Linked DNA regions of Caenorhabditis elegans. The protein of the gene in region 2 interacts with the protein of the main gene of each other region in a pairwise test. Each region holds a gene or a part of one and is shown on either strand. Other genes may lie near its edges. The genes, in order: ubc-15 and pdr-1.

Region 1 (16,301 bases), on a different chromosome or scaffold from region 2:
AAAAATTGGAAAATTCTAGAAATTTCGGAGGTTTTTAGCCGGGAAAAAGCTCGTTTTTATCGAAAAATTGAGATTTTTAAGCGGAAAAATTGGGAAATTTGGCCAATTTTTGTAGTTTTCTCCGGGGAAAAATGGGGTTTTTAGGTGGTTTTTACAGGAATTTCGGAGATTTTAACCGGGGAAAACCTAGTTTTTTATCGGAAAATTGAGATTTTTAAGCAAAAAAATTGCAAAATTTGGGCAGTTTTCAGGGTTTTAGATGGTTTTTTAGCTAAAAAATTGGAAAATTCTAGGAATTTCGGAGGTTTTTTCCGGTTTTTACCCCGGCAAAATGTCAAAAAAAATTCAGAAAATGGGGATTTTTGCCTTGAAAAATTGCAAAATTTGGCCAATTTTCGTGGAAAAACTGGCTTTTTCAGGTTTTACATTAAAAAAAAGGAAAATTCGAGGGATTTCCATAGATTTACCGCGGAAAACCTAGTTTTTATCAAAAATGGAAGTTCTAACCTCGAAAAATTGAAAAATATGGGCAATTTTCGTAGTTTTCCCGGAGAAATTGCCGAAAATTCCATGGAAAAGGGGTTTTCAGGTGGTTTTTACCCCACGAAAATTTGGAAATTTTAGAGATTTTGTTGGTTTTTTACGGTTTTTAGCCCGAAAAATTGGGAAATTCGGGCAATTTTCGCAGTTTCAGGGGGTTTTTACACCGAAAAATTGGAAAATTCGAGAGATTACGGAGGTTTTTACCGGGGAAACCCTAGTTTTTTATCGAAAAATTGAGATTTTTAAGCGGAAAAATTGGGAAATTTGGGCAATTTTCGCAGATTTAGGGGGGAAAATGGGTTTTTAGGTGGTTTTTACAAGAATTTTGGAGGATTTTACCGGGGAAAACCTAGTTTTTATCAAAAAATGGAAGTTTTTACACCGAAAAATTGATAAATTTGGGCAATTTTCGTAGTTTTCCCGGAGAAATTGCCGAAAATTCCATGGAAAAGGGGTTTTTAGGTGGTTTTTACCACAAAAAATTTTAGAGATTTTGCTGGTTTTTTACGGTTTCTACGGGGATTTTCTCAAAATTCAGATTTTCAACAAAAAAATTCCCCAAAAACTCAACTTTTACGTTGAAATTCCCAATTTTAACTGAAAATCCGAGGTTTTTGCCGAAATTTTTGCAAATTTTGCGCTCAAAACTGGACCAATATTGAAATTTCTGTCGGAAAAATAGAGAAATTTGGGTTTTTAATAGTGTCCTGAGATTTTTTTAGCTCAAAATTTCGCCAAAAGTCAAAATTTTCAAAAAATCCGTTTTTTTTAAGCTTTTTTTGCGAAAAAATCAAAAAAATAGCTTTTTTAATGGAAAACTTTAATTTTTTTTCGATTTTTTAACAAAAAACAAAAACTCACACGTGCCGGGAGATTGTTGTCGAAACCGAATCCACGTACAATTGGAGCATTTGGAGCAGCATTTGGTGCTCCTCCAGTTGGAGCAGCATGCTCTGGGAGCATTGTTGGAGCAATATTTGGCTCATTCGGTGTCGGCAGTACTCCGGTCCAATCTTTGACGAATTGTGGAAAGAATCGACGGAATTCGCGGTACTGGAAATTGAATTTTGATGGAATTTCTAGCAATTTTTCTTGGTAAAAAGCGAAAATTTCACCAAAATTTACACTGCAACTTTTTCCTGACGAGGGACGAGGAAAAGTGGTTTCTAGGCCATGGCCGAGGGGCCGACAAGTTTCAGCGGCCATTTATCTTGCTTTGTTTTCCGCCTGTTTTCTTTCGTTTTTCATCGATTTTTTTCGTTTTTTCTTAATAAAACTGATAAATAAATATTTTTTGCACAGATGCTAAAACAATTTCCAAGTAAAAAAATTATGTATTCAGTGGGCAAGCAGCGGTGAAAGTGGTCAATGTAAAATGATGGATTACGGGAATACAAAACCTAAACTTTTTCTGAAACATGATACATATGCTGCTTAGATGCTGAAATTACCTGATTTTCATAACGAGACCGCTGAAAAAGTTTTGAGATTTTCAAAATTAAACTTTTTGTGCAAAAATCTCGACTTTTTCACTAAAAAATTTGAATTTTGAAAACCTCAAAACTTTTTCAGCGGTCTCGTTATGAAAATCAGGTAATTTCAGCATCTAAGCAGCATATGTATCATGTTTCAAAAAAAGTTTAGGTTTTGTATTCCCGTAATCCATCATTTTACATTGACCACTTTCACCGCTGCTTGCCCACTGAATACATAATTTTTTACTCGGAAATTGTTTTAGCATCTGTGCAAAAAATATTTATTTATCAGTTTTAATAAGAAAAAACGGGAAAAATCGATGAAAAACAAAAGAAAACAGGCGGAAAACAAAGCAAGATAAATGGCCGATGAAACTTGTCGGCCCCTCGGCCATGGCCTAGAAACCACTTTTCCTCGTCCCTCGTCAGGAAAAAGTTGCAGTGCGGATTTCCAGCCAAATTCCAGTTGTATACCTTCAAGAAAAATTTGAATTTAAAATTGGCAAAAGCGTGTACAAAACAGGCCAAAGTCTTCTTTGCCAGCCTCTCATAGGACTCTTCATGGCGGTCGAGAAGCGCCAAATCGCCGAATTACACATTATTTATTGGAATTTTAGGAGAGAAAAACCAAATTTTTAGCCCTTTTTCTAGTTTTCCGGGCATGTTTACATGATTTTTCGGCAAAAAAAGCCCAAAAAATCTGGTCAATTTTGATGGAATTTTCGGTTTTTTTTTTTTCAAATTTTATGAGGAAAACTCAATTTTAAGGCCTTTTTTTTCCGAATTTTAAATAATTTCTGTGATTTTTAACGTTTTAAAATGGAATTTTTCCGGTTTCCTTATTTTGTGCAATTTTTTCGCTTAAAAACCTGCTTTTCAGCGAAAAAGTGGCTTTTTTCTACATTTTTTCCAGGGAAAAGGGGGCTTTTGCAGCAAAAATCATATTTTTTCTAAATTTCTGAATTTTTCCACCAAAAGTTCGGCTTGTTTAGCACAATTTTGTCAATTTCAATCGATATTTGCGAAACTTTGACTAAATCTCTTGTTTAAGCGATTGAAACCAGTTTTTCGACGAAAAATCGCTTAAACAAGAGATTTGGTCGACATTACGCAAATATCGATTGAAATTGTCAGAATTGTGCTAAAAAAGCCGAATTTTTTGTGGAAAAATTCAGAAATTTAGAAAAAATGTGTTTTTTGCTGCAAAAATTCCCTTTTCCCTGGAAAAGTGTAGAAAAAAGCCCCATTTTAGCTGAAAAGCAGGTTTTTAAGCGAAAAAATTGCACAAAGACAGAAAACCGGGCAAATTCCATTTTAAAACATTAAAAATCACAGAAATTATTTAAAATTCGGAAAAATGCCTAAAAATTTGGGGTTTCCCCATAAAATTTGGAAAAAACCGAAAATTTCATCGAAATTGACCGGATTTTGGGCTTTTTTGCCGAAAAAATCATGTAAAAATACCCGGAAAACTAGAAAAAGGGCTAAAAATTGAATTTCGTCCAAATTTCTCGGTTTTTGCCAGAAAAAAGTCATTTTTTCACCAAAATTCTTGGTTTTTAGTCAATTTTCATAGATTTGCGAATTTTTAAATCAATTTTTCGTTGTAAAATTCCGGTTTCTTCAATTTTCAGGAGCATTTCGAGCAAAAATTCTCCCAGAATTTTTCGGCTCAAAAATCGGAAAAAAACGCTTTGAAAAAAAGATTTTTGAGTGGAAAAAAAATGAAGAAAAGTCGATTTTCTGCGCAAAAATCGAGATTTTATGTCAAAAATTAGCAATTTTTGTTGAAAAACCCTGTTAAAAGCGATTTTTAGCGAATTTTTCGCATAAAAATGACACGTTTTTAGTGATTTTTTACGGATTTTCTCGCAGCAAAATTCGACACTTTTTTTCTAAATTTCTCACTTTTCCAGACAAAATTTCCGGAAATTTTCCAAATTCCAATAGAAAATCCGCGATTTTTGTCCAAATTTCGGGGATTTTTCCAATTTTTAAGCTCGAATTCCGGAGCTTTTGGCTCAAATTTGCCAGATTTTTCGAATTTTTTACGGAAAATCCCAGTTTTTCGGTCAAATTTTGGCTGAAATTTAAAATTTTTAGGAAATATTTTAAGATTTTTCCAATTTTCAGCCCAAAATCCGCGATTTTTGGCCAAATTTTCGGGGTTTTTTCTCCAAAATTTCACACATTCCAAGGCTTTTGCCCCAAATTTTGGGGAATTTTTGCAATTTTGAGCCAGAAATTCGAGTTTTTTCGCAGAATTTTCCATTTTGGGTTTTTAAAATTCTACATTTTTGCTCAATTTCTGCGTTTTTCAGGTAAAATTTAAGGATTTTTCCAATTTTTTTTTCCAAATTTTCAGGAGCATTTCGAGAGCAGCAGCAGCAGCACCTTAACATTAAACTCTTTGCTCGCCGCCGCATACATCCTCTGATCCTGTGGAGTTCCGGCAATTGATCCGGCAGCCGGCGAATTTTCGTTCATAAATGAATGAAGTCCTATTAGAATTGCAGATACAGTCCATCCGGGATTCCATGATTCCGGATGATAATCAGAAATTGATAGGCATAGGCGGGTATTTGTTTGGAATCTGCAAAAAACACTTTTTTTTTTTTAAATGAAACTTCGACAGAAAATGACTGAAATTTTACCGTTTTAATGACATTTTTTACCATTTTTCAGCGATTTTTTAAAGGAAAATTTGGGGCACTTTTAATGCAAATAATAATAATAATTTTTTTTCGGAGTTTTTTTTTTTTGTTGAAAAATTTAATGTTTTTAGCCAAAAAATGAAAATTTGGGCAGAGGTTCCCCGTAAACGTGACTAAATGGAGCCCATCGGGAATTGTGATGAGAATATCGTAATTCTATTGGCGAATTAACGAGGTTTTGCACATCACAATACTCAATAGATACATCCATTTGCCACAGGAAAATTGAGGTTTTTGAGTCAAAATTTGCACAAAATTGGGCAAAATTTCACATTTTGCCGATTTAAAAAAAATTTGAGGATTAAAACCGTTTTTCACAACAGTTTCTAATCATTTTTTTGTGCTGAAAAATCTAAAAATTTAGCCGATTTTCGATATTTTTCGGGTTTATTAAATTATAAACATTTTTCCTGACAAAATATGGCATTTTTGATAATTTTTAACGATTTTTCGCAAAAATCTCCCAACTTTGGAGTAATTTATCTAAAACTGACCGAGAATCTTAATTGTTAGACGAAAACTTCAAGTTTTTATAAGAATAAATGAATTTTTCCGTGAAAATCTACAAAATCGTCAAATTAGGCCATTTGTAGGTTAAACTTTTCAAATGCAAAACTGAATTTTTTACAATTTATTGGTTAAAATTCTGTAAATTCTGAGAGAATGGAATGTGAACTTTTTTGAATCAAAATCTGAAAAACCAAAGAAAATTGCAATTTTCTCAGAAATTCATCGAGAAAAAATGAATTTCCGGGTAAAAATCGATTTTTTTTGACGATTTTCAATGATTTTTATGTAACTTTTGAGCAAAAATTAATTTTTTTGACGATTTTCCTCATTTTTTCAGCAAAAAATTGATTTTAATCGCATTTTTTGGCCATTTTCCAACTTTTTTGTGCAACTTTCCAGCGAATATGTAAATTTAATCGTATTTTTGACCATTTTATACGCTATTTTCCAGCAAAATTTGGTTTTTTACCGCATTTTCTACCATTTTTCTCGATTTTTTCGATATTTTTCAGAAAAACTTGGTTTTAATCGTATCTTTACTGATTTTTCCGAATTTTTCAAAAAAAAAAATTAGATTTTTTGCATTTTTCGAGGAAAAAAAAAGGATTTTGTGCCGTTTTTGGCTGATATAATCCAATTTTTAAAAACAAAAATGACATTTTTGAACATTTTCAGCAAAAATCGATTTTAATCGCATTTTTCGACCAATTTCAATGATTTTCTTACAATTTTTCGGGAAAATTTAATTTTAATCGTATTTTTGGCGATTTCCAATGATTTTTATTTACAAAAAAGTTGGAAAATGGCCAAAAATGCGATTAAAATCAATTTTTTCTGAAAAAATGAGGAAAATCGTCAAAAAAATTAATTTTTGCTCAAAAGTTACATAAAAATCATTGAAAACCGTATTTTTTGACGATTTTTTTTTCGCAATTTTCGTGTCCGTCCGTCATTACTACCTTCCATTCGGTGTAATCATCGTGATAGCAGGTGGACTCCACGGGAAATTCTCCTTAAAAATCACTTTTCCCCAATAATAACCACCATAGAATGGTGTATCCGGTGATCCACGAAGGCAATAATGCCATTCAAGAATATTATCCTCATTTGGAAGTGCTTTAATTCCATCAACAGGATCTTGCATCAGTTTTGCGTAGTCTTTTTGGAGGCGTCGAACGGCTGAGCTGGATGCTGTGCCAGCTGCTGGTACGGATACGCCGGGACCCTGCAAATAATTGGGAATTATTAGGGTAAAAACACCCAAAAAAAGTAGCGAAAAATTGAAAAATTTAGGGGTTTTTCCATTTTTATAGTGGAAAAATCGAATTTTTTAAGAGTAAAAACACCAAAAAATTAGCCAAAAATTGAAAAATTAGTGGAAAAATTGAAAATTTTTGGTTTTTTTGCCAGAAAATTGGGGGTTTTTTGGAGAAAATTTGAAATTTTTGGTTTTTTCCAGAAAATTTTTTTAAAATTTCGAATTTTTTAGGGTGAAAACCCAAAAAATTAGCGAAAAATTGAAAATTTAATTTTGTGAAAAAAAAAGTGAAAAAAATCATTTTTTAAGCCAAAAATTTCCAGTTTTTCCGAATTTTTGCTCCGAAAACTGTCGTATTTTAGCAGAATTATTAAAAAATTCTCTGAAAAATCGATGAAAAAATTAGGATTTTTGGCATTTTTGCCGCGAAAAATTCCAATTTTTCAGAAAAAAAAATCCAAAAAAATGAAATATTTACTGGAGGAAAATTATAAACTTTCAGAAAAAATCAATATTTATTTGTTAAAAAAACAATTTTTCTGAAAAATTCAACATTTTCGAAAAAAAAATCTAAAAATCAAAATTGATCTGTTTTTCCTCCAAAAAATTCAAAACTATAAGAAAAAATTAAAAATTCACTTTTTTTCAGAAAAATTGATTGCTTGGTTAAAAAAATTGAGAATTTTTAGGGTAAAAACCCAAAAAATTAGCGAAAAATTGAAAAATTTAGGGGGTTTTTCAATTTTATAGTGGAAAAATCGAATTTTTTAAGGGTAAAAACACCGAAAAATTAGCCAAAAATTGAAAATTTTTGGTTTTTTTGTCAGAAACTTGGGGTTTTTTTGGAGAAAATTTGAAATTTTTGGTTTTTTCCAGAAAATTTTTTTTTTGTAAAGCTTGAATTTTTTAACAGAATTTTTTGATTTTTTCAGAAAATTTCGAATTTTTTCAGAAAATTAAAATTTTTTGATTAAAAAATTGAATTTTTAGAGTAAAAACACCCAAAAAATTAACCAAGAAATTGAAAATTTTCGGGGGTTTTCAATTTTATAGTGGAAAAAATTGAAAATTTTGGTTTTTTTTGAAAAGTTTGATTTTTTAACAGAAATTATTGATTTTTTCAGAAAATGTTGAATTTTTTATGGTAAAAACCCAAAAATTAGCCTAAAATTGGGCAATTTTGTGGGTTTTTCCTGAAATTTTCGGGGAAAATTGGAATTTTGGTTTTTAAAATAAAACATTGATTTTTTAAGAAAATTTTGAATTTTTTCAGTGAATTTTTAATTTTTTTTAGAGTAAAAAACCCAAACAAAGTAGCGAAAAATTGAAAATTTTTGGTTTTTTTGCCAGAAAATTGGGGTTTTTTTGGAGAAAATTTGAAATTTTTGGTTTTTTCCAGAAATTTTTTTTTTTGGAAAGCTTCAATTTTGAACAGAATTTATTGATTTTTTCAGAAAATTTCGAATTTTATAAAATTAAAATTTTTTGATTAAAAAATTGAATTTTTTAGGGTAATAACCCAAAAAATTAGCGAAAAATTGAAATTTTAATTTTGTTAAATTTCCAATTTTTCCGGATTTTTGCTCCGAAAACTGTCGTATTTTAGCAGAATTTAAAAAAAATTATCTGAAAAATCGATGAAAAATTAGGATTTTTGGCATTTTTGCCGCGAAAAATTCCAATTTTTCAGAAAAAAAAATCCAAAAAAATGAAATATTTACTGGAGGAAAATTATAAACTTTCAGAAAAAAACAATATTTATTTGTTAAAAAAACAATTTTTCTGAAAAATTCACCATTTTCGAAAAAAAAATCTAAAAATCAAAATTGATCTGTTTTTCCTCCAAAAAATTCAAAACTATAAGAAAAAATTAAAAATTCACTTTTTTTCAGAAAAATTGATTGCTTGGTTAAAAAAATTGAGAATTTTTAGGGTAAAAACCCAAAAAATTAGCGAAAAATTGAAAAATTTAGGGGGTTTTTCAATTTTATAGTGGAAAAATCGAATTTTTTAAGGGTAAAAACACCAAAAAATTAGCCAAAAATTGAAAAATTAGTGGAAAAATTGGAAAATTTTGGTTTTTTTCGATAAGCTTGAATTTTTTGAAAATTTTTAATTATGTTTTTTTTTTATTAGTTTTTTTGAAAAGTTCGATTTTTTAACGGAAATTATTGATTTTTTCAGAAAATTTTGAATTTTTTTATGGTAAAAACCCGAAGAATTAACCAAAAATTGGGCCATTTTGAGGGTTTTTTCCTGAATTTTTCGGGGAAAATTGGAATTTTGGTTTTTAAAATAAAACATTGATTTTTTAAAGAAAATTTTGAATTTTTTTAGAGTAAAAAACCCTAAAAATTAGCCAAAAATTGAAAAATTGGGGGATATTTGGTTTTTTAAACAGAAAATATTAATTTTTTCTGATAGTTTTGAATTTTTTTGAGGAAAAACAGATCAATTTTGATTTTTAGATTTTTTTTTCGAAAATGTTGATTTTTTTCAGAAAAATTGTTTTTTTTAACAAATAAATATTGTTTTTTTCTGAAAGTTTATAATTTTCCTCCAGTAAATATTTCATTTTTTTGGATTTTTTTTTCTGAAAATGTGGATTTTTTCGCGGCAAAAATGCCAAAAATCCTAATTTTTCATCGATTTTTTAAAAATTCTGCTAAAAAAAATCCGAAAAAACTGGAAATTTTTGGCTTAAAAATTGAAGTTTTCCACATTTTTTTCACAAAATTAAATTTTCAATTTTTTTAAATGAGAATTTATAATTTTTAATGATTTTTCGTTTAAAAAAAAAACTCACCAAATTCAGCATTTTCACCAGATAATCGATTCGGTTTCACCAAGTTTTTGGCGCCCCAAGAGAGTGATCTGGACGGAAAATTTGATGAAATTAACCGAAAATTGGCGAAAAATAGATAAAATGCGGTGAAAAATAACCGTTTCCGGGGAAAAAATAGCAAAAAATCAATAAAAATGACTGAAAATTGTCCATTTTTGACGGAAAAAATCAGAAAAAAGCAGGGAAAAATCACAGAAGCTATTAACAATTAAAAAAAAATTCGAAAAAAAAATGAAATGGGACAGGAAATTTCAATAAATTAGCGATGGAAAGCGTAGAGAAAAGGTGGAGAGAGAGAAGTGAAGAGACGCAGACAGTTGTACGGAGAAGAAAGATGACGTCATCGCTTAGAAATCTCTGAAAATTTGGGGATTTTTAGTCGGAAAAATGGATTTTTTGGGGAAAAATCGGGATTTTCTAGTGAAAAATCACGAAAAACTGGAATTTTGTGTTAAAATCAGTGATTTTTACTCTAAAAATCACTGAAAAACTGATTTTTTGGTTGAAAATCCAATTTTTTTCGATTAAAAATCAAATTTTTGGCTCAAAAATCGGAATTTTCAGTCTAAACTCATTTTTAAACGGGGTTTTTTTGGAAAATTTCGAGTTTTTTGGCTGAAAATCCAGAATTTCAGGGATTTTTAGCTGAAAATTGACTGAAAAACGATAATTTTCAGCGGAAAAATAAAATTTTTGGTCTAAAAACAACTTGATTTTCTAGTGAAAATCCAGTTTTTTTTCAGTGAAAAAGTGGAAAAATCTATATTTTTTCAGGCAAAATTAGTGATTTTTGATCGAAAATTGATTTTTAGTCTAAAAAAAAGTGTTTTTTTGGCAAAAAGTTCAGGTTTTCACGTAAAAAACTAAAAACCTCAAATTTTTGGCTTAAAAATCGGAGTTTTTGTCGAAAATGCTGTGTTTTTCTTGTGAAATAGCACTAAAAACTGAATTTTTACCCCCGTAAATCCACAGTTTTTCGAGTAAAAATAGAAAATTCAGGGATTTTTTGTGTGTGAAAAATTGAAATTTGGCCATTTTTCAGAATTTTTGGCCTTTTTAGGCGATTTTCGGCCTTTATTAGGTAATTTTTGGCCTTTTTTCGGTGATTTTTATTAATTTTTAGCGGGAATTTCCTCAAAATTTGAGATTTTCGGCGATTTTCAGATAATTTTTGGCCGTTTTTCGGTGATTTTTAGGTCATTTTTCAGAATTTTCGGCCAATTTTGAGGATTCTTTGGCCATTTTTTGTGAATTCCATCAATTTTTCACTCAAAAACGAGCAAAAAACTGACAATAAATTGCCAGACGTCGCCGTTGTGCTCGTCGAAGAGCTCGGAGCCGGCGGTGGAGCAGCAAAAGCAGAAGACAGAGAAGATGAAGCCGTAGTGGTGGTGGTGGAAGGACGAGAGTTTCTGATCTGAAAATTGGGGAAATTTTAGTCGAAAATATACAAATTTTAGAGGAATTTCTATGATTTTTGAGTGGAAAACTCGAATTTTTGAAGAAAAAAAGTTGATTTCGAGCAAAAATCCGTACTTTTATCGCATTTTTTGACTGAAAATTGCAAATTTGGGCTTAAAAATTCGAATTTCAGCGTTTTTAGCTACTTTTCGGAAATTTTATGCGAAATTCTGACGAAAATCATAGTTTTTTGGCAAAATTTCGACTAAAATCATGAATTTTCGAGTTTTAAAATCGAAAAATTCGAATTTTGTGGCTTCAAAATGGCAAATTTCACGAATTTTTCAGATTTAAACCGAAAAAATGGGGTTTTTTAAGATTTTTTTCTCAGAAAATCGCAATTTTTTTCAAAAAACTCGAAAAAAGCATAGTTTTTGGTGAGAAAATGTCTAAAAACCCAATTTTTTCGGCCAAAAATGCGATTTTTCAGCCAAAAATCGCTGAAAATTCGCGAAAAAGCACGGTTTTTCGGCAATTTTTTTTTGGAGAAAAAGGCATATTTCACGAACTTTTGAGCAATTTTTTGAGTGAAAAATTCGAATTTTCACTATTTTCAGCTACTTTTCTGAAATTTTATGCAAAAAATCTGCCGAAAATCAAATATTTTTTGGTAAAATTTCGACTTTTTTAAATCGAAAAATTCAAATTTTGCGGTTTGAAAATGGCAAATTTCACGAATTTTTGAGATTTAAACTGAAAAAATGGTTTTTTTTGCATTTTTTATACAATTTTTTTCAAAAAGCTCGGAAAAAAACCCTTTTTTTGGAGGAAAATTGTCTAAAAATCGCGCGAAAAACACACAAAAATGTGGGAAAAAGTGGAGAATTAGAGAAGCAGACGGAGGATTTTCAGAGAAAAAAAAACCAAAGAGGCGCAGAGATTCCGAACGAAATTCGTCACCAATTTCCATGGAAACTCTGAGCAAAAAGTGGAAAAAATTGCACTTTTCAGCAATTTTTAAGCTAAAAATTGGATTTTCCGCGATTTTAAAGGTTAATTTCCGATAATTTAGGCTGTAAATTTCAATTTTTCAGCCAAAATACTCGAAAAAATCAAAAATTTCGCCGGAAAAATGCTGAAAATTCGATATTTTTTGAAGTTTCAGTCAAAAATATCGGTTTTTTTAGCATTTTTCCGGCCAAAATTCAGCTGAAAATCACATTTTTTCCACAAAAAAGTCAATAATAATCTTGTGATGAGAAAGATAAGAAAAGTGGTGAAAAAATGTCAATTTCCAGCGAATAATTGGGAAATTTCCTCAGATTTTATACAATTTCAACACTATTTTAGGCTTTTTCAGCCAAAAAATCAAATTTTCGAAGATTTTTAGTGAAAAATTAGCAAATTTCGGCGATTTTTCCACAGAAATCGACCAAAAAATCCAAAATTCAGCGAAATTTTTAAGATTTTCGGCTAAAAATTAACGAAATTAGCTTAATTTTTATCCAGAAAATCGATTTTTTTCAATTTTTTGGAGCAAAATACTCAATTTTTACAGAATTTTAAAGATCTTCAGATGTTTTTTGACTAAAAATAAATTTTTTTAGCCGAAAAACCACTGAAAATTCAGTTTTTAGCATTTTTTTTCCAGATTTTTCCACTGAAAACTGATTTTTAAGCCATTTTTTCCAGATTTTCAGCTAAAAATCAACGAAATTAGCTTAATTTTATCCAGAAAATCGATTTTTCCCGATTTTTTGAGCAAAATACTCAATTTTTTCAGAATTTTCGAGATTTTCAGTCAAAAATTAACGAATTTAGACGTTTTTTAGCTGAAAAACATGCAATTTTTCAGATTTTTCCACTGAAAACAAAAAAAAAACGATTTTTAAGCCATTTTTCCCAGATTTTCACCCAAAAATCACGGAAAATTCAGTTTTTCCGGCAATTTTTCAGATTTTTCAGGCAATTTTCCAGATTTTCAGCTAAAAAATAACGAAATTAGCTTAATTTTATCCAGAAAATCGATTTTTCCCGATTTTTTTGAGCAAATTTTCAAGTTTTTCAGCTAAAAATTAAGGTATTCAGACATTTTTCAAATGAAAATCTACTTTTTTAGACGAAAAACCACTGAAAATTTAGTTTTTAAGCCATTTTTCCCAGATTTTCACCCGAAAAATCACGGAAAATTCAGTTTTTCAGGCAATTTTTCACATTTTTCAGCCATTTTTTCCAGATTTTCAGCTCGAGCTCCGTACCATTGAGCCGGCACCTGGCGGCGGTGGAAGCAGTGGCACTAGGCCTCCAGTAGATGCTCCAGGAGCCGGACGAGGGCGGGAAACTGCACTTTTATCCTTTTTCTGCAAGAAAATTAGGGTAATTTTCAGAGATTTTCAGTCCGAAATTCGTACTCCAATGTTAATTGAGATGGTTTGTCCCTCTTTAAATGCTAAATCCAAGCTTGGACCGGCAGAAAGATCCTGTTTTTCCAGTTCGGCGCTTCGTTCGATATAACGAAAGTGATCCTGGAAATTGGGCGGTTTTTTTGGGACTTTTTAGTGAAATTTTGGGAAAAATTGGAGAATTTTGAGAGAAAAACCGAGAAAATCGGGTGAAAACTGACTTTTTGAGCGATTTTTGTGAAGAAAATTGAGAAATTCAGTGATTTTTTGGGAATTTTTGGTGAAAAATCGAGAAAATCTGGTGAAAACTGATTTTTAAAGCGATTTTTGTGAATTTTTCAGGAAAAATTAGTTTTTTTTGAGGATAAATGGGGTTTTTCGGGAATATTTGATGAAAAATTGGGTTATTTTGAGAGAAAAACCGAGAAAAATGGGTAAAAATTGATTTTTTGATCGATTTTTGTGAATTTTAGCGATTTTTTAAAAGGTAAATTGTGATTTTTTTGGCGCAAAAAAAGTAATTTTTTTCGAGAAAAATTGGGTTTTCTGGGAATTTTTCGCGGAAAAAATGGATATTCTCCATGAAATTTAGTGATTTTTTGGAATTTTTAGTGAAAAATTTGGATTTTTCAGAGAAAAACCGAGAAAAATGGATGAAAACTGATTTTTAAGCGATTTTTGTGAATTTTAGCGATTTTTTAAAAGGAAAACAGGATTTTTTCGAGGAAAATCGGTATTTATAGAAGGAAAAATTGAGAAAATTTAGATTTTTTCGTAGAAAAATGGGCTTTTAGTGAATTTTTCAGGAAAAATTGGAATTTTTAGTGACTTTTTGCAGTATTTTTTGTTGAAAATTTGATTTTTAGCGATTTCTTCGCTGAAAATTGATGAAAATCTATGAATATTGGGGGTTTATAATTGATTTTTTTGAATTTTTAGTTAAAAATTATTAATTTTCAGCATTTTTTCGACTTTTTTTTTGAAAAAAACGGGATTTTTCATGGAATTTTCCAATTTTTCACCAGAAAATTCAATTTTCCGTGAATTTCCAATGATATTTCCTCGAAAAAATGCGGATTTTTCAGATTTTTGAATAAAAATCGCAGAATTTATCGATTTTCGGTCAAATTTCCCGGTTTTTAACGTAATTTCCACTTCAAATCCTCGATTTTCAGCATTTAAAGCCACTTTTACGCACTTGAAGTGTGACATTAAAGTCAAAAGCATCTCCTCTCTCCTGAAACCCGCATCCCACGAATGCCTGCTGTCCATTGTCGTTCTAAACGTGAAAATTTTGAAATTTCAGGGCTTTTTTAAGCCAAAAAAACCTGCAAACGAATCACAAAATATCGAGAACTATCGGAAACCGCCTCAATTGCGTTGCCAGGGTGCGCATCGATCGGGCATTTCGCGTATAAATCGCCTGAAAAATGAAAAATTTCGGGGTTTTTATTGATTTGATTGATTTTATTGATTTTCCGAGGGAAAATTACAGGTTTCTCCGTCTTCTAAACGCATTTCCAGACGTTTTCCGATGGCGACAAGCCGCATTCGTCCCGTCCAAGCCGGGCTGTCGAGGTTCCAGTCGGCGGCTCTGAAAAATAGGGATTTTATAGCGAAAAATATGGATTTTTACGTTAAAAATAAGATTTTTTACCTTAAAAACCACTTAAAAACCCTCAAAAACTCACTTATGACCGCTGGTTCCGATCGGCGGGATGCGATACACGAAAACCTTGGGTTTTACCATTAAAACGTTCTCGTAATCTCCCATGATTATCGATTTTTCTCGCTGAATACGGCCAAATACTGCCAACAACGTGCAAATTAAGTGTGTTGAAGCCTTCTCTATCGACTTTTTTTTCGTCGGTTCAGCGGAAAAATCGGCCACGTCCGCGCCGGAAGTGAGCGCGAGATTCAAGTTTCGAGGGTTTTTTCTGTAAATTTTGCGAGAAAATCGACGAAATTTGGCTCAAAATCGAGAAAAATCGAGAAAAAAGTCGAAAAAAATTCCTGGAATTAAATTTTGTTTTTAAAGGCGCATAGAGTTTTTATAGTGGTTGAGTCTCGCCACGAAAATTAAAATTTTTGTAATTGTCTGTAGTTAAGCCGTCAATTTTGTGATTTCTGACGTAGATTTTATGAAAAATCTGTTTAAATAAATTTTTAAACCTTTTTCATTAAAAATCCATCAAAAAATTAAATTTTAAAAGCAGTTTTAGCCTAGAAAATGCTAGAAAAAGAAAACAAATTTTAAAGGCGCATGCCCAAATCCACTCTTCTGGTCTCGCCACGACTTCTGTAAAGACACAAACTGCGCGGGATTTTCGCCTATTTCCACTCGATTTTCTCCGAATTTTCGACTATTTTCGACAATTTTCCAGCTTCTACTCGTCAAAAAAATGTCATTTCTCGCTCGTGGGCTCTCGAATCTCATCGGAATAGTGGCGCCCGTCATTGGCTCGTTCAAAGTGCTGAAAAAGCCGACGAAACCGAGATTGGTTGGTGAAATGCCATTTTTTACGCTAAAAATCGCACCAAAAACCCGATTTTTTGATTTCCAGATCGAATGCATGCACTATTGGACAATCTACGGCTCATTCCTCATTGTCGACTGGTTCCTGAGCACTTTCTACGTCTCTTGCTTCATTCCGTTCTACGATTTCTTCATTCTCACGTTCACAGTGCTCATGGCGATTCCCCACATTGGATTCGCCTCGGTTCTCTACACAAAGTTCTTGGCGCCGTTTCTGAGGAAATACGAGCGCCGAATCGACAATATTTCCGCGAAATTGATGGATAAAGTGTGGGAGAACATGCCGATTGTGGCGAGCGCGGTGCCGGCAGTTTTGGCGTCGGTTAGTCGGAAAATAATCGGATTTTTTAACTTAAAATTGGTTTTTCCAGGTCGTCGCAACGCTTAACAGTGCTCCAACTCCAATTTCTCAGCTTGAAATCGAAGAAATCGATAGCTCAATGAGCCTGGACCCGGAGCCGCGGCGCCGACCCGCAACTCGAACCCCATCTCGCTCGGAGCCAATCTTCCTCGATCAGAGCTTCGAAATCCAGGATGACGAGGATCTGAACCTCGGCGGCGACGACGTCTTCATCCGCCAGATCAAGCAGGAGATCGTTGAGGAGGACCTGGAAATC
Region 2 (12,172 bases):
CTCGATATGCTTCAAATCCTGCCGCTTATTGCACCAAAAAGTCTTCTGGTCGCCCACCACTCCTTTCTGGTAGAGACAAGCGAAAAATCGTTCGTCGAGCATTCAATTGAACAGTGACTTGCTCGAAAAGTAGGAGCGAGATGAACCTGCCAGTGTCTGTTGAGACCGTACGTCGTGTCCTTCGAAGTCCCAGTTTATCAAAAGACGAAAATTAATAAAGGCTAATTTCATTACCGAAAAACACGGCCAAAATCTTATTCAGTTTGCTAAAATCAGCCAGAGAACTAACTGGAGACAAGTGAGGATTACGGTATGATCATTCAATCTCATGTTTTGGTCTCAGATCATCTTCAGTGGCGAGAAAAAGTTTAACTGTGATGGTCCTGATGGCTACCATGATTACTGGCACGATTTGAGAAAAGAAAAGATGAACTGAAACCAAAAACTGGGCTTGAATGACTATACCTTTTTTATAGGTAGGGCACTTTTTGCCTGCACAAATATGAGCAACCAAAAATAATTTCCAAGTTTTTAATGATTTGTTGCATATTATTTTAGCGATTTCTTTTACAAAGAAACCGCTAAAATGATTATTAAACGCGCGACCAGATCATTCCGCATAAAAGCGCCTCCCTTTAAAGTCGCAGAAGTGGAAAAACAAATGCACTGTATAATGCTGAAGAATTTTAAAAAATACTGCATTCCGAACAATCGTTAACAACACAATAAATATATTAAAAACCAAAAACAAACATGTGAGATACACCGGTTTGAACCGAAAATTACAGAAAAAAAAGAAAACGATATTTAGACGAACCGCCACGCTTTCGGTGTTCCTTTATTGTGGAAGATCACTCGGCAAAGGGTCCTTGTGGATGTTCAATTGAGGCCTGAAATTTAAAAAAAAATCTTTTTTTTTCAATTATGAAACCGACTTACTCTTCAGGAACACGATTTTCAGTAACTTCTTCCGGCTGTTGGAACTCGATGAAATTTTCATCGTACAAAACATTTTCCAGCACAGATTCCACCTTTCTCTTGAAATTTTGAAAAGCATCAACTTCGAAGTCGACTGGAACTGTCGAGATTCCACGTTGATATGCCTCACCGCCGCCGTGAAGAATTTGAATTTCTCTATGTGGTGTGGACGCTGCGTGCACATTTTGAATAGCCACGAAATTACCGGACTGCAAGACTATTGGTTAATATATAGAAGATGAATTAAAAGTGTTACATTTAGACTCACTAAATCAGCTCGATGCTCGTCGTAAACATTGATCTCAATCAGATATTCTTTCCCAAATTCTTCAATGGCTTTTCCAATACGCGGATTCGGCGGAACGATGTAACGTTTGAAGGAAAATTGAGTAACGTGAAATAGTTGTCTTTCTCGTCTCTCTTTGATGCTTTCTGGTCCGAATTTTTGAGCCCTCCACACTCTCAGCATCCATAAACCGTCCATTGTTTCGACAACAGAGTGAACTTGGGCCAGTAGATCAAAATATTGGTGAAAAAGCTTATAATATCGATCATCTTGGAATTTACAAGCAACAGCAAGACGACACTCGAGCGGTGAAAACATTTTCACCTGAAACATAGTATTACGGAAACATAAAATTCTGAGAATGCGTATTGCACAACATATTTGACGCGCAAAATATCTCGTAGCGAAAACTAAAGTAATTCTTTAAATGACTACTGTAGCGCTTGTGTCGATTTACGAGCTCATATGGATTGCAATACTAATTTTCAGAACATTTTTGACTTTGAGCTTACTAGTTGTTTTGTTTTTCTGAAAAAGTCATATGTAAAAAGTCAGAAAATGTAATTTTAATTGTAGCATGTAAGTTCAAAACTTCTATCTCGTAGAAATGTTGTCAAAAATTGTTACAAAATAGGTAAAAAATGTTGATGGAATCCTGAAATTAGCGAGACCCGTTTGCAATTTAAAAAAAGTAAAAGCAAGACTATTAGGGAGTGCAAGACTAATAGGGAGTGCCATACTAATTTTCGAGAGGTCTCCGAGGGGCAATACTAATAGGGAGTGCAATTCTAATAGAGAAGACGTAGTAATAGAAAAAATACGGTATTTATCGATAAAATATTGAAACTCAGTTAAAAATGAGAAAATAATTTCAATATCGCTCAATTTCATTCATTTCATTTTCCATTCATTTCAAAAAATCGAAAAAATCAAAAATCGACACCACCGCTACAGTAGTCATTTAAAGAATTACTGTAGTTTTCGCTACGAGATATTTTGCGCGTCAAATATGTTGTGCAATACGCATTCTCAGAATTTTTGAGGTCATATAATACACGGCCCGAGAAGTGGTACCTGTACGCAATTTGTCTACCGTATACCTGGACGTTTGGGCGCGTGTATCTCAAAAACGGTTGGTCCAGCTTTTTTGTGATGCATATAAAAAATGTCCGAAATTAAATTCTAAATTTTTTGGACCAAAGCTTTTTTCGTTATCACGCGCCCAAACCTGGTCTACACTCAAATTATCAGTAGAGCGCATTTGCATGGATGTACCACTTGCCGGGCCGTGTAATAATTTTAAATTTCACATTTTAAAGTACACATTTTAAACCATTTACATATCTATTTTCTTCTCAAAATTAGTTTTTTTCTAATAAAAAATTATCGTACTTAAAAATCTGACTCAATTCAAATTTTTTCTTTAAAAATGTGAAATTCATTTTTTGGAAAAAAACTATTTTAATGACAAAAAGATAGACCGAAAATAACTGAAGAAATTTTTTAAATTTGTTTTATGCTGTTTTAATAATTTGGTATTTCCCTTTTCAAATGGTGTAAAAGTAGATTTACCGGAAAACTGTCTGAATTAATGAAAAACGGACAAATCTCAATTTTTTTGAGAGATTAAAACGCATATTTCAGAGAAGTAAGTGATTTTTATTATTATTTTTAAACAAGAAGATCTCTCATTTTACATTGGAAAATCAATTCTCAGAGAAAAACGATAATTGAGCGATGAAAACACACAAGAAATTAAGAAAAATAAGATTTAACATTGAGAAAATGATTTTCTGAAATAGATGCAAATTATCTTTTTTATTTTACAGAAATGTAACGCTTTTTTGTATTTGAGAACAATAGAACAATCATTAAATAACTAATATTTACTCCATCATTTCGACGTCATCATTTTTGTGTTGATCCTCCCATTTCTTCTGTCGTCTTCGCATACTTTCCATTGAAGACGTCACACTTCCAATTGTGTCGTCGAACATTCTTTGTACCTGAAAAATTAGGAAAGTTTGACTTTTTTCAACGATCCTCCTTCGCAACGAATATTTGTTAGTGTCCAAACATCTACCAAAACACAATTTTAGCCTGAACCCTGCTTACAATTTCAGTATTATCCACAAAATTCTGCACAGAATTGACCATAACCTCCCCGTCGAGATCTCGAGAGCTCCGATCAAAGAACACTTTGTCAAGTTTGCTCAATTGTTTCGCTGTCTCCAATACTGTCGTCAAAGTACGGTCAATTTCATCGCAAACCGCATGAAAATCGTTCGTGGCTCTGCTGTACTGAGCTTTTCCATCCTCGTTCACTTCTCCTTCTTGTTTCTGACGCACAAGCTCCGCACCGCGTTTGTTCATTTCCTGAATTTATTTATTCGATTTTGTAATCAAAAAATTAATTGATTATGTAAAAATCTGAAATAATCGAATAAAGATATAAAAATGGTTTTTTATTCAAGAAAAACATGGAAATTTCATTTCTCTGTTTTCAAGTCAAAATACTTTCTTTTTTTCGATGAGGTTTTTTTTCGATTTTTTCTTTTTAAAAAACAACAACTTTTTAAACAACAAACAATTTTTAAACAACAGCTAAATATGTCAAAAATTTCAAAACAATTTTTTTTTTCTGAAAAGCCATTAAAAGTGAATTTTTCTTTTTCTTTGTTTGACCAAAATAATTGATGCTTTGAAAAAAAAAATTTGAAATAAATTTTTCTTACATATTCTTTCCTAAACATTCAATTTTATTCAAACCTTTAGTTTTTTCTATTCTTCAAAATTCCAACAAAAATTGTAAAGCTTACCACCAACGAATTTCTGAGATCCTTTTGCACCAAATTTCGAACCAAATCCACAGGATCCTGAACCATTCGAATTTGCTCCTCATTCGGTTTCAGCGGCTCTTTGGAGCTCTGCGCACCGGCCACAGTTGAGCCCGACGCTGCAGATGGCGGTGGTTGAACTGATGCAGGCGGCTGCTGGCTTGCCGGAGCCTGAATCGAGCCTGGATTGAATGTGGAAGCCGGTTGGACTGAGGACGGAGCCTGTGTTGAGCCTGGTGGCTGCACGGAGCCGGGTCCGAAGACTTGAATCGATTGGGGTCCTGTTTGGGAAGCTGGCCCGCCGGGAGGTATTGAACCTGGAGCTAGAACCTGAAAATTTTGAGAGGTTTTTGTTTTCTAAATTTTCGAAAAAATGTTATTTTTATTTTTCAAATCATTGAAATTTAATGTTGAACTTTTTTGGAATTTTTTTTTGTATAAAAATTTTAATTTGAAAAAAAATCAAACTTTCACTTGAAATGCCAAATAAAGTAATTTTTATTTAAGAAATACAATTTTTTCAAAAAAAGAAGATTTTTTCCTGTTTATCATTGAAATTTTTTCACTATTTCGTTTGAAAAATCTCAAAAAAGAACCTTTTTTTACTCCTAAAATACGGGAATATTCGAGAAATTTCTAAAAATTTTTAGAATTTTCGAATAATTTTTTAAAAATGTTTATAAATACAGTGCTCCACATAATGATACGGCCACCCCCAAATTTTGGTATAACTCAAAACTGGGTTGAGATAGCAAAACATAGTTTCTTGTGAAAATGTTCGCTGTACTGGCTAACTTTCAGATAAGTATTGGAAATATACCTGAACCGTTCGTAAAAAAAGATAAACCATTTTTTCATGAAAAACCATATAAAAAAATCCACAAAATGATACGGCCACCCTTGGTTTTTGTTTTCTTTTTTCGTTTTTGTTTTCTTTTTTCGTTTTTTTGCAATTTTTTTTGCTAAACGTTAGGTTTCATGTTCGTTTGTGTTTTTACAGCTATGGGTCGTGGAATAACTTTAACTGACTACGAAAAAGGACAAATTGTGCAAAATTATCTCAAGGCTTCTCGGATCGTCAGATTTTTCGTGATTTGAAACGTTTGAGAGATATGATCACTCGATATGCTTCAAATCCTGCCGCTTATTGCACCAAAAAGTCTTCTGGTCGCCCACCACTCCTTTCTGGTAGAGACAAGCGAAAAATCGTTCGTCGAGCATTCAATTGAACAGTGACTTGCTCGAAAAGTAGGAGCGAGATGAACCTGCCAGTGTCTGTTGAGACCGTACGTCGTGTCCTTCGAAGTCCCAGTTTATCAAAAGACGAAAATTAATAAAGGCTAATTTCATTACCGAAAAACACGGCCAAAATCTTATTCAGTTTGCTAAAATCAGCCAGAGAACTAACTGGAGACAAGTGAGGATTACGGTATGATCATTCAATCTCATGTTTTGGTTTCAGTTCATCTTTTCTTTTCTCAAATCGTGCCAGTAATCATGGTAGCCATCAGGACCATCACAGTTAAACTTTTTCTCGCCACTGAAGATGATCTGAGACCAAAACATGAGATTGAATGATCATACCGTAATCCTCACTTGTCTCCAGTTAGTTCTCTGGCTGATTTTAGCAAACTGAATAAGATTTTGGCCGTGTTTTTCGGTAATGAAATTAGCCTTTATTAATTTTCGTCTTTTGATAAACTGGGACTTCGAAGGACACGACGTACGGTCTCAACAGACACTGGCAGGTTCATCTCGCTCCTACTTTTCGAGCAAGTCACTGTTCAATTGAATGCTCGACGAACGATTTTTCGCTTGTCTCTACCAGAAAGGAGTGGTGGGCGACCAGAAGACTTTTTGGTGCAATAAGCGGCAGGATTTGAAGCATATCGAGTGATCATATCTCTCAAACGTTTCAAATCACGAAAAATCTGACGATCCGAGAAGCCTTGAGATAATTTTGCACAATTTGTCCTTTTTCGTAGTCAGTTAAAGTTATTCCACGACCCATAGCTGTAAAAACACAAACGAACATGAAACCTAACGTTTAGCAAAAAAAATTGCAAAAAAAACGAAAAAAGAAAACAAAAACCAAGGGTGGCCGTATCATTTTGTGGATTTTTTTATATGGTTTTTCATGAAAAAATGGTTTATCTTTTTTTACGAACGGTTCAGGTATATTTCCAATACTTATCTGAAAGTTAGCCAGTACAGCGAACATTTTCACAAGAAACTATGTTTTGCTATCTCAACCCAGTTTTGAGTTATACCAAAATTTGGGGGTGGCCGTATCATTATGTGAAGCACTGTATATTTCTTCTCTGTTTTTTTAAAATTTTTCAATAAAATCCGAAAATTTACCGATCCAGGTCTTTGAATGCTTCCGGGTTGTTGAATATGTTGACTTTGCTGAGACCCCGGCCTTGATAATGTCTGCTGTTGTGGCTGCAAATGCATTGGGTACTGATGCTCCATTTGTGAGCCCGGGAGCCCGGGTGCACCAGATGTGTGTTGTAAATTGACGGGAACCGACGACGGCGGAGCAACTGAGCCTGGACGTGAGACGTGTGTTGGCGGAAGAGACATTGGTTGCTGAAATTACATTTTTTTTTCAGCTAAAAAAGATTGTCACAAATTACTTTTATTTGGAGATTTATGTTTGAACGGCCAATTGTTTTAGATTGGTTTTTTTTTAATTTCCAACAAAAATTCTGAACAAAATAATCGGAAATTTGAATGAAAGTAGAGTTCGGAAAATGGGGATTTACTTTCAGTTTTAAAATACTAGGAACATTCCATATGCTGAAATACCACAAAAAAAAGAAAAGAAAATGAAAATTCCAAAAACACGAATTTCCAACTCTCACTAATTTCCCCTTTTTGAATTTTTTCCAAATATTTTTTCAATAGTTCTAAGTTTTATCAGAAATCTCCCCGTACATTCATGCCCATTTGCTGTTGCATCATCTGTGGAGTGGTCGGATTTGCGGCAGTGGGCACCGACGAGGGAGCCTGAAGCTGTGCTCCAACTAGAGGGCTTCTCGGTTGCATTTGTCCTTGTGGTTGAAGATGAGGATGCATTTGGAGATGAGCACCTCCCGGCGAGCCTCCTTGTGGTACCATTTGTGGAGTTCGAGCTCGTTGGTATGGCTGAAAATTGTGGTAAATCGATATTTTACAGAATAATAGGTACTTGTGTATTATACCCCCGCCATTTTAGAAATTAATTAAATTTCCATTAATTTATCCGTTTAAATTAAACGTGATACCCATTTTCCTTGTTAGGCTTAGGAATGGTGTTTTCCTAAGCCTAAAATTCCACACGTTTTTATTTTATAAGCTAAAAAATTAATTTTTAAAATGGCGGGGGTATAATACACAAGTACCGAATAATATATGTTTAAGCGCTTTTTATTTGTATCGTAGTGTTATTATTTACTATTTAAAAAAACCGAAATGGTATGTTTCCTATCAAATTTCTTTAGTTTTAGCGATAAAATACGCTAAATCTGTTTAATTTAATGTTTTAAAAAATTTCGATCAGAAATTTGCGGAAAAAATCATAAAATATTTTAATTTTACGTTAAAAAATTTATCAGAAAGTGCTATTTCAAATTTTCGATAAATTGGACGGTATATTACTACCTGTTGAGCCTGTTGTTGTATTTGCTGTTGACGTTGCTGCTGCATTTGTTGTTGCTGCATTTGTTGCTGCCGCATCATTTGTTGCTGCTGTTGCTGCTGCATTAACATCTGAAATGTTTTTATTTTATAATCTTTTTATTCCTAGTTTAAAATTTGGTTATATGGTTTTAAAAAAGCTCTGAAAACGTCTTAAAATGAAACTTTAAAGGATATTTGAGTGAGAAATTTTCAAATTTCAGTTAAAAAATGCGGTGAGTTTTGTTTTCATGAAAAAGTTGTTTTTTTAATTTTCATGAAAAAAATAATTTTCAGCCCACTCCAAAACTGAGATATATCCCGAAGCTCAAGAAATGTTTCCATGTTGGTGTGATTGTACATTTTCATTAATTTTTTTTGTTCCCAAAATTAAAAAAAAGACATTTTTTGACTTCAATTGTTTTAAGGATGAAGCCGTAGAAAAGTGTGAAATTTTTCCGAAAAAGGTTGTAAAATGTGCTCAAATTCACTAAAATTTACTCTCAAGTTCAAAAGCACAAAAAATCTTACATGTTGTTGCTGCGGCGTCATACTTGGTGGAGGTCCTTGTCCTGACATGTCTATGGAGATCCCTGCGAGAAATGTGTTCTTTGAAATTTGGCAAAACATTTAAAAAAAGGTATGAAATGAGCGAAATACTCAGCAACAAAAATTGAGAAAAAGATCTAAAATTTGAAGAGAAAAAATGTCAATGTAACTTCAGACACACCGTAATTGTTGTAAAAATCTACAGAATAACACGTACAATCTCTAGAAAAGATGAATTTTAGAGAGTTATTAATTAAACCAATGGTCCCATTGACACTCTTCCTTCCATTCTGTCTTGCACTTGAAACACCAATCCATTCCACACGAGGTACAGTGAATGTGAGCACATCCGCCGTTCCGTTCGGTTGCCACGTGGCATTTTGGGCATCTTCTGGAAGAATTTACAGTTTTTTGTAGTGGATAATCGCTGAGATCACCTTGTAGTCGCGTCAATTGTAGTTCGGGTGAGATCGTCTTCGCTCTGGCACACACAATTTCTTTCGAAGCACTTTCTGAACGATGATATTTATTGCGATAAAATTTCCGATTTAGAAGCTCAAAATACCTGCAAAACGAAAAAAAACAATCTGGACACTGGGATCTTCCATCGTCATCATAGGGCTCCCAGAAGAAGCTCTGCCCACACGAGACATTCGGGCAAGTCACACCCTTGTCGTCCACGGCAATCAATCGCTCGGTGGCTTTCCGTTGGTATTCGCTGTACGACGTCTGACCCATAATGTGGAAATGGTGCACATCTTGTACCACTCCTGAAGTTATTTTTCAATTAAATGTTCTGTTTAATTTCTTTAAAACTTTTTTTTTCAATTTTCTCGGCATTGAAAAACTATTGAAACATGTGAGAAAATTTTCAAAATAAATTTAAATAGAACGGGTGGGGGTTTTTTTTGCAAAAAAAAAACCATGCCAGACTTGCAAAATGGAAACATAACATATTTGTATTTTTTGGAAGATTTTTTGTTTCTATCAATTAGTTTTCAGGATCACTACTGCAGAAAATTGAATGGTTTTGATAAAATCGAACGAACTATTGCACCCTGGATAGGGGCAGAAAATGGTGAAGCCATGCGGCGGCTGATTGACAAAACCGAATCGTTCCAGTTGACTTAGCAAATAATCCTTTAAAATTAAACAATTTCAACAAAAAATTTAGATTCTTACTCACTCTGAAACAGAATTGGCATGTAATATGATTGCATCCGAGGTCGAAGATCACTTTCTCCTTCCCATCACAAACACAGCACTCGGTCATTTGCCAATTTCCGCGTACGTGAGTTAGAGCTGCGGCCGGATCGTTGCAGGCTAGACATTTGAACTTGAATTCAGCGAAAAGACCTGGAGTACAGCATTCTTCGCAGACCGCCGGTATTCTCTTGCTTTTGAGAACGTCGGACCAGTTCTGGGGTTCAGATTTGACTAGAACAGAGGTTGACGAGCATTTTTGGCAATAAACCCGCAGTTTGCCGCGCTTGACGTCGTCACAATTTTTGCACCACACGTAGAAGCTTCCGAGAATTGAAGAATCTGTTGTTATTTTTGCAGTAGTAGCACCGTTTTCGTTGTGACTATTGAACTTTGGACGGAGAAGCATGATTTGTCTGAAATAATATTATTTGAATAACAATTCCAGTTATTTATATAAATAACAATTCCAGTTATTTATATAAGTAAATATTTACTTGACCTACGTTGCAGGTGTCAGTGACAAATCCCTCATAATCGTTGATTTTGATAACTTTTTCCCACAGAAAACCACTTCCAGCTCATCGCTGGGAATTTCGGTGAGCTTTTCCACATCTTTTGTGAGATCTTCGATATTTCCAGTTATATTTATCTGAAAAAAATAATGTATATATTCAAAGTTTGAAATGTCCACTACATTAAGTGTTAGATTCCTACGTTGACCTGTTTTTCTATCTTGTATTAATATAGAGATTTCATCAGACATGCTTCATGAGAGCTGAAAATTTGACTTAGAAATTAACAAAAAAATTTCCTGCTAGCGGGCCTGCTTGCAGTTTTAAACATTAAATTCAAAAAACTAGTCGAGGCCTTGAAGCCCCATGTTTTTGTGCACACTAGTCCTCGCAGTCATGTGCGCCCTATGGCAAGCGTAGCGGGTCGCGTCGCGTGTGAGACAAACGCAGCGAGCTTCAAATTCGAACTGTTTTCCACGAAATTTGAAACGGTTTTCACGCATTTTTCTCTTATTTTCGGGCGAGTTTCTCGTTTTCTAATCATTTCCACATTTTAGAATGAAGTCCAGTACATCAAAAGAGAAGGTGTGCGGCGAAAACTCGCGTCACATTTTCAACATGATTCTAAACTCACAGCGACCGCAATTCGATATTAAGGATATAGGTTAGTTTCAATTATCATTTTCAAATTTTAATGACGTGTTTCAGGAATGTTTCATTTGATTGATGAGATTGAGCGTCTCCGCAAGCTGTGGAAAGATTCCGAGGAATCCAAAAAGCGGCTGAATGCAGATATGAGAGAGGCCGAAGAAGCACTTGCGTAAGTGAAATATTTCATGTTTACGTGTTTAGAAAACACTATTATTTCAGAAAAGCTCGCAAGAAGCTGGCAATGTTCGATATCGATGTCAAAGACACTCAGAAACATTTACGCGCGTTGATGGAAGAAAATAAGGCGTTGAAGCTCGATCTAAACGTCTACGAGACTCGTGAAAAGCAGCTGAAAGATGCGATGAAGAACGGTATATTCAATAGTCTCACCAAGGAAGACCGCGATCAGTTCAAGTTTCTTCACGAGCCACTGGTCCGGACATACTCGAAACGGGTGCAGCAGAGGCATCCACATTTGATGGAGGACACACAGGACGATGAGGACGATAGTGAGGTGGATTACGATGAAACTGGAGACAGTTTCGAGGAAGTTATTCATTTGCGCAATGGAAGAGAGGTCAGAAGAAGCTCAGCTGCTGGAAACGCAGTTGGTGGCAAGCGGAGAAGCGCGTCAGCACATGCGATTACTGCTGCTGCCAATTCGAAGAGGAGCAGAAGCCGTGTTATGACAGCTACTATAGATGAAGAGCCGGTAAAAATTATGACATGACAGTTTTTGTTGAATTGCGTTTGTTCTTTCAGAATGAGGGTGGTACACCTCCAAAAAGATGCCGTGATGATGGTTCTACACCTCATCAAGAAATGACAACTACCACCACTACCACCACCACCACTACTATTCATAACTCTCGAGCTCAGAACCAGGACCCGCCACGTGTCTCACTTCACCGCCAGCTCACCCGCAGGAGCTTGAGCTGTGGAAGTATTCCATCATGCGATCAAACACCAGGACAAACCACAAATAACATCGGCCTCGGCATGTCGTCCGCCATTCTCACCAAAAGCACACTTGATATCCGAACCCTGAAACGTGGCACGCCGGCGTGGACTAATGGAACAACTCGTGACATCGCAATGAGACCACACACGTTTATAGAGGCAGGAATCAAAGCGGTACGTGTAAAAAATGCTAACAAATTTCTTTAAAGTGAGCTCTGTAGTGATGAAAATCATGCTAATCATGAAGAGGCGCGTCCGTCTCGGACCCCATGTTGCAAACATCTATTTCTGAACAAAGAATTCCTATTTTTTCTGTTAAACATGAATTGCCACACTGTTTTAATACCTTTTTGATTTTCAGATGCGAAAATGCGACAAATGTGCTACAGCCCTGAAGCTCGCCACATCAATGAAATGCAGAGACTGTCACCAGGTTGTCCATCGTAGTTGCTGCAACAAACTTCATCTCCCGTGCATACCACGCCCCAAGACGATGATGACGCCGAAATCCGCATTACGTGGAGCCAAGCCGG

The links.
Region 1: the proteins of pdr-1 (region 2) and ubc-15 interact in a two-hybrid assay, tested with the Caenorhabditis elegans proteins (one study listed by BioGRID).

The regions. Positions count from the first base shown.
Region 1 is NC_003280.10:2,904,230-2,920,530, forward strand, and holds the start of ubc-15 (Ubiquitin-conjugating enzyme E2 J2), read right to left. Parts: upstream 9,375-16,301; 5' UTR 9,319-9,374; coding exon 9,307-9,318; intron 6,468-9,306; coding exon 6,202-6,467; intron 4,612-6,201; coding exon 4,413-4,611; intron 2,493-4,412; coding exon of another isoform or gene 2,313-2,492; exon of another isoform or gene 2,286-2,312; intron 1,599-2,285; exon of another isoform or gene 1,597-1,598; coding exon 1,405-1,596; intron 1-1,404. Other genes in the region: ncap-1 (NECAP PHear domain-containing protein), read right to left, coding at 9,693-9,702, 10,638-10,762, 13,005-13,106, 13,158-13,271, 14,347-14,427, 14,477-14,571, 14,642-14,742, 14,840-14,922; Y110A2AR.1 (Receptor expression-enhancing protein), read left to right, coding at 15,551-15,649, 15,713-16,006, 16,056-16,301.
Region 2 is NC_003281.10:13,769,638-13,781,809, reverse strand, and holds pdr-1 (E3 ubiquitin-protein ligase parkin), read right to left. Parts: upstream 10,292-12,172; 5' UTR 10,280-10,291; coding exon 10,211-10,279; intron 10,166-10,210; coding exon 10,020-10,165; intron 9,930-10,019; coding exon 9,497-9,929; intron 9,451-9,496; coding exon 9,360-9,450; intron 9,081-9,359; coding exon 8,876-9,080; intron 8,823-8,875; coding exon 8,748-8,822; intron 8,702-8,747; coding exon 8,560-8,701; 3' UTR 8,466-8,559; downstream 1-8,465. Other genes in the region: pot-3 (Protection of telomeres protein 1 ssDNA-binding domain-containing protein), read right to left, coding at 839-890, 940-1,187, 1,235-1,582; mdt-29 (Mediator of RNA polymerase II transcription subunit 29), read right to left, coding at 3,151-3,270, 3,380-3,640, 4,084-4,431, 6,463-6,693, 7,042-7,251, 7,747-7,854, 8,293-8,340; cyk-4 (Rac GTPase-activating protein 1), read left to right, coding at 10,587-10,692, 10,737-10,848, 10,899-11,391, 11,442-11,813, 12,001-12,172.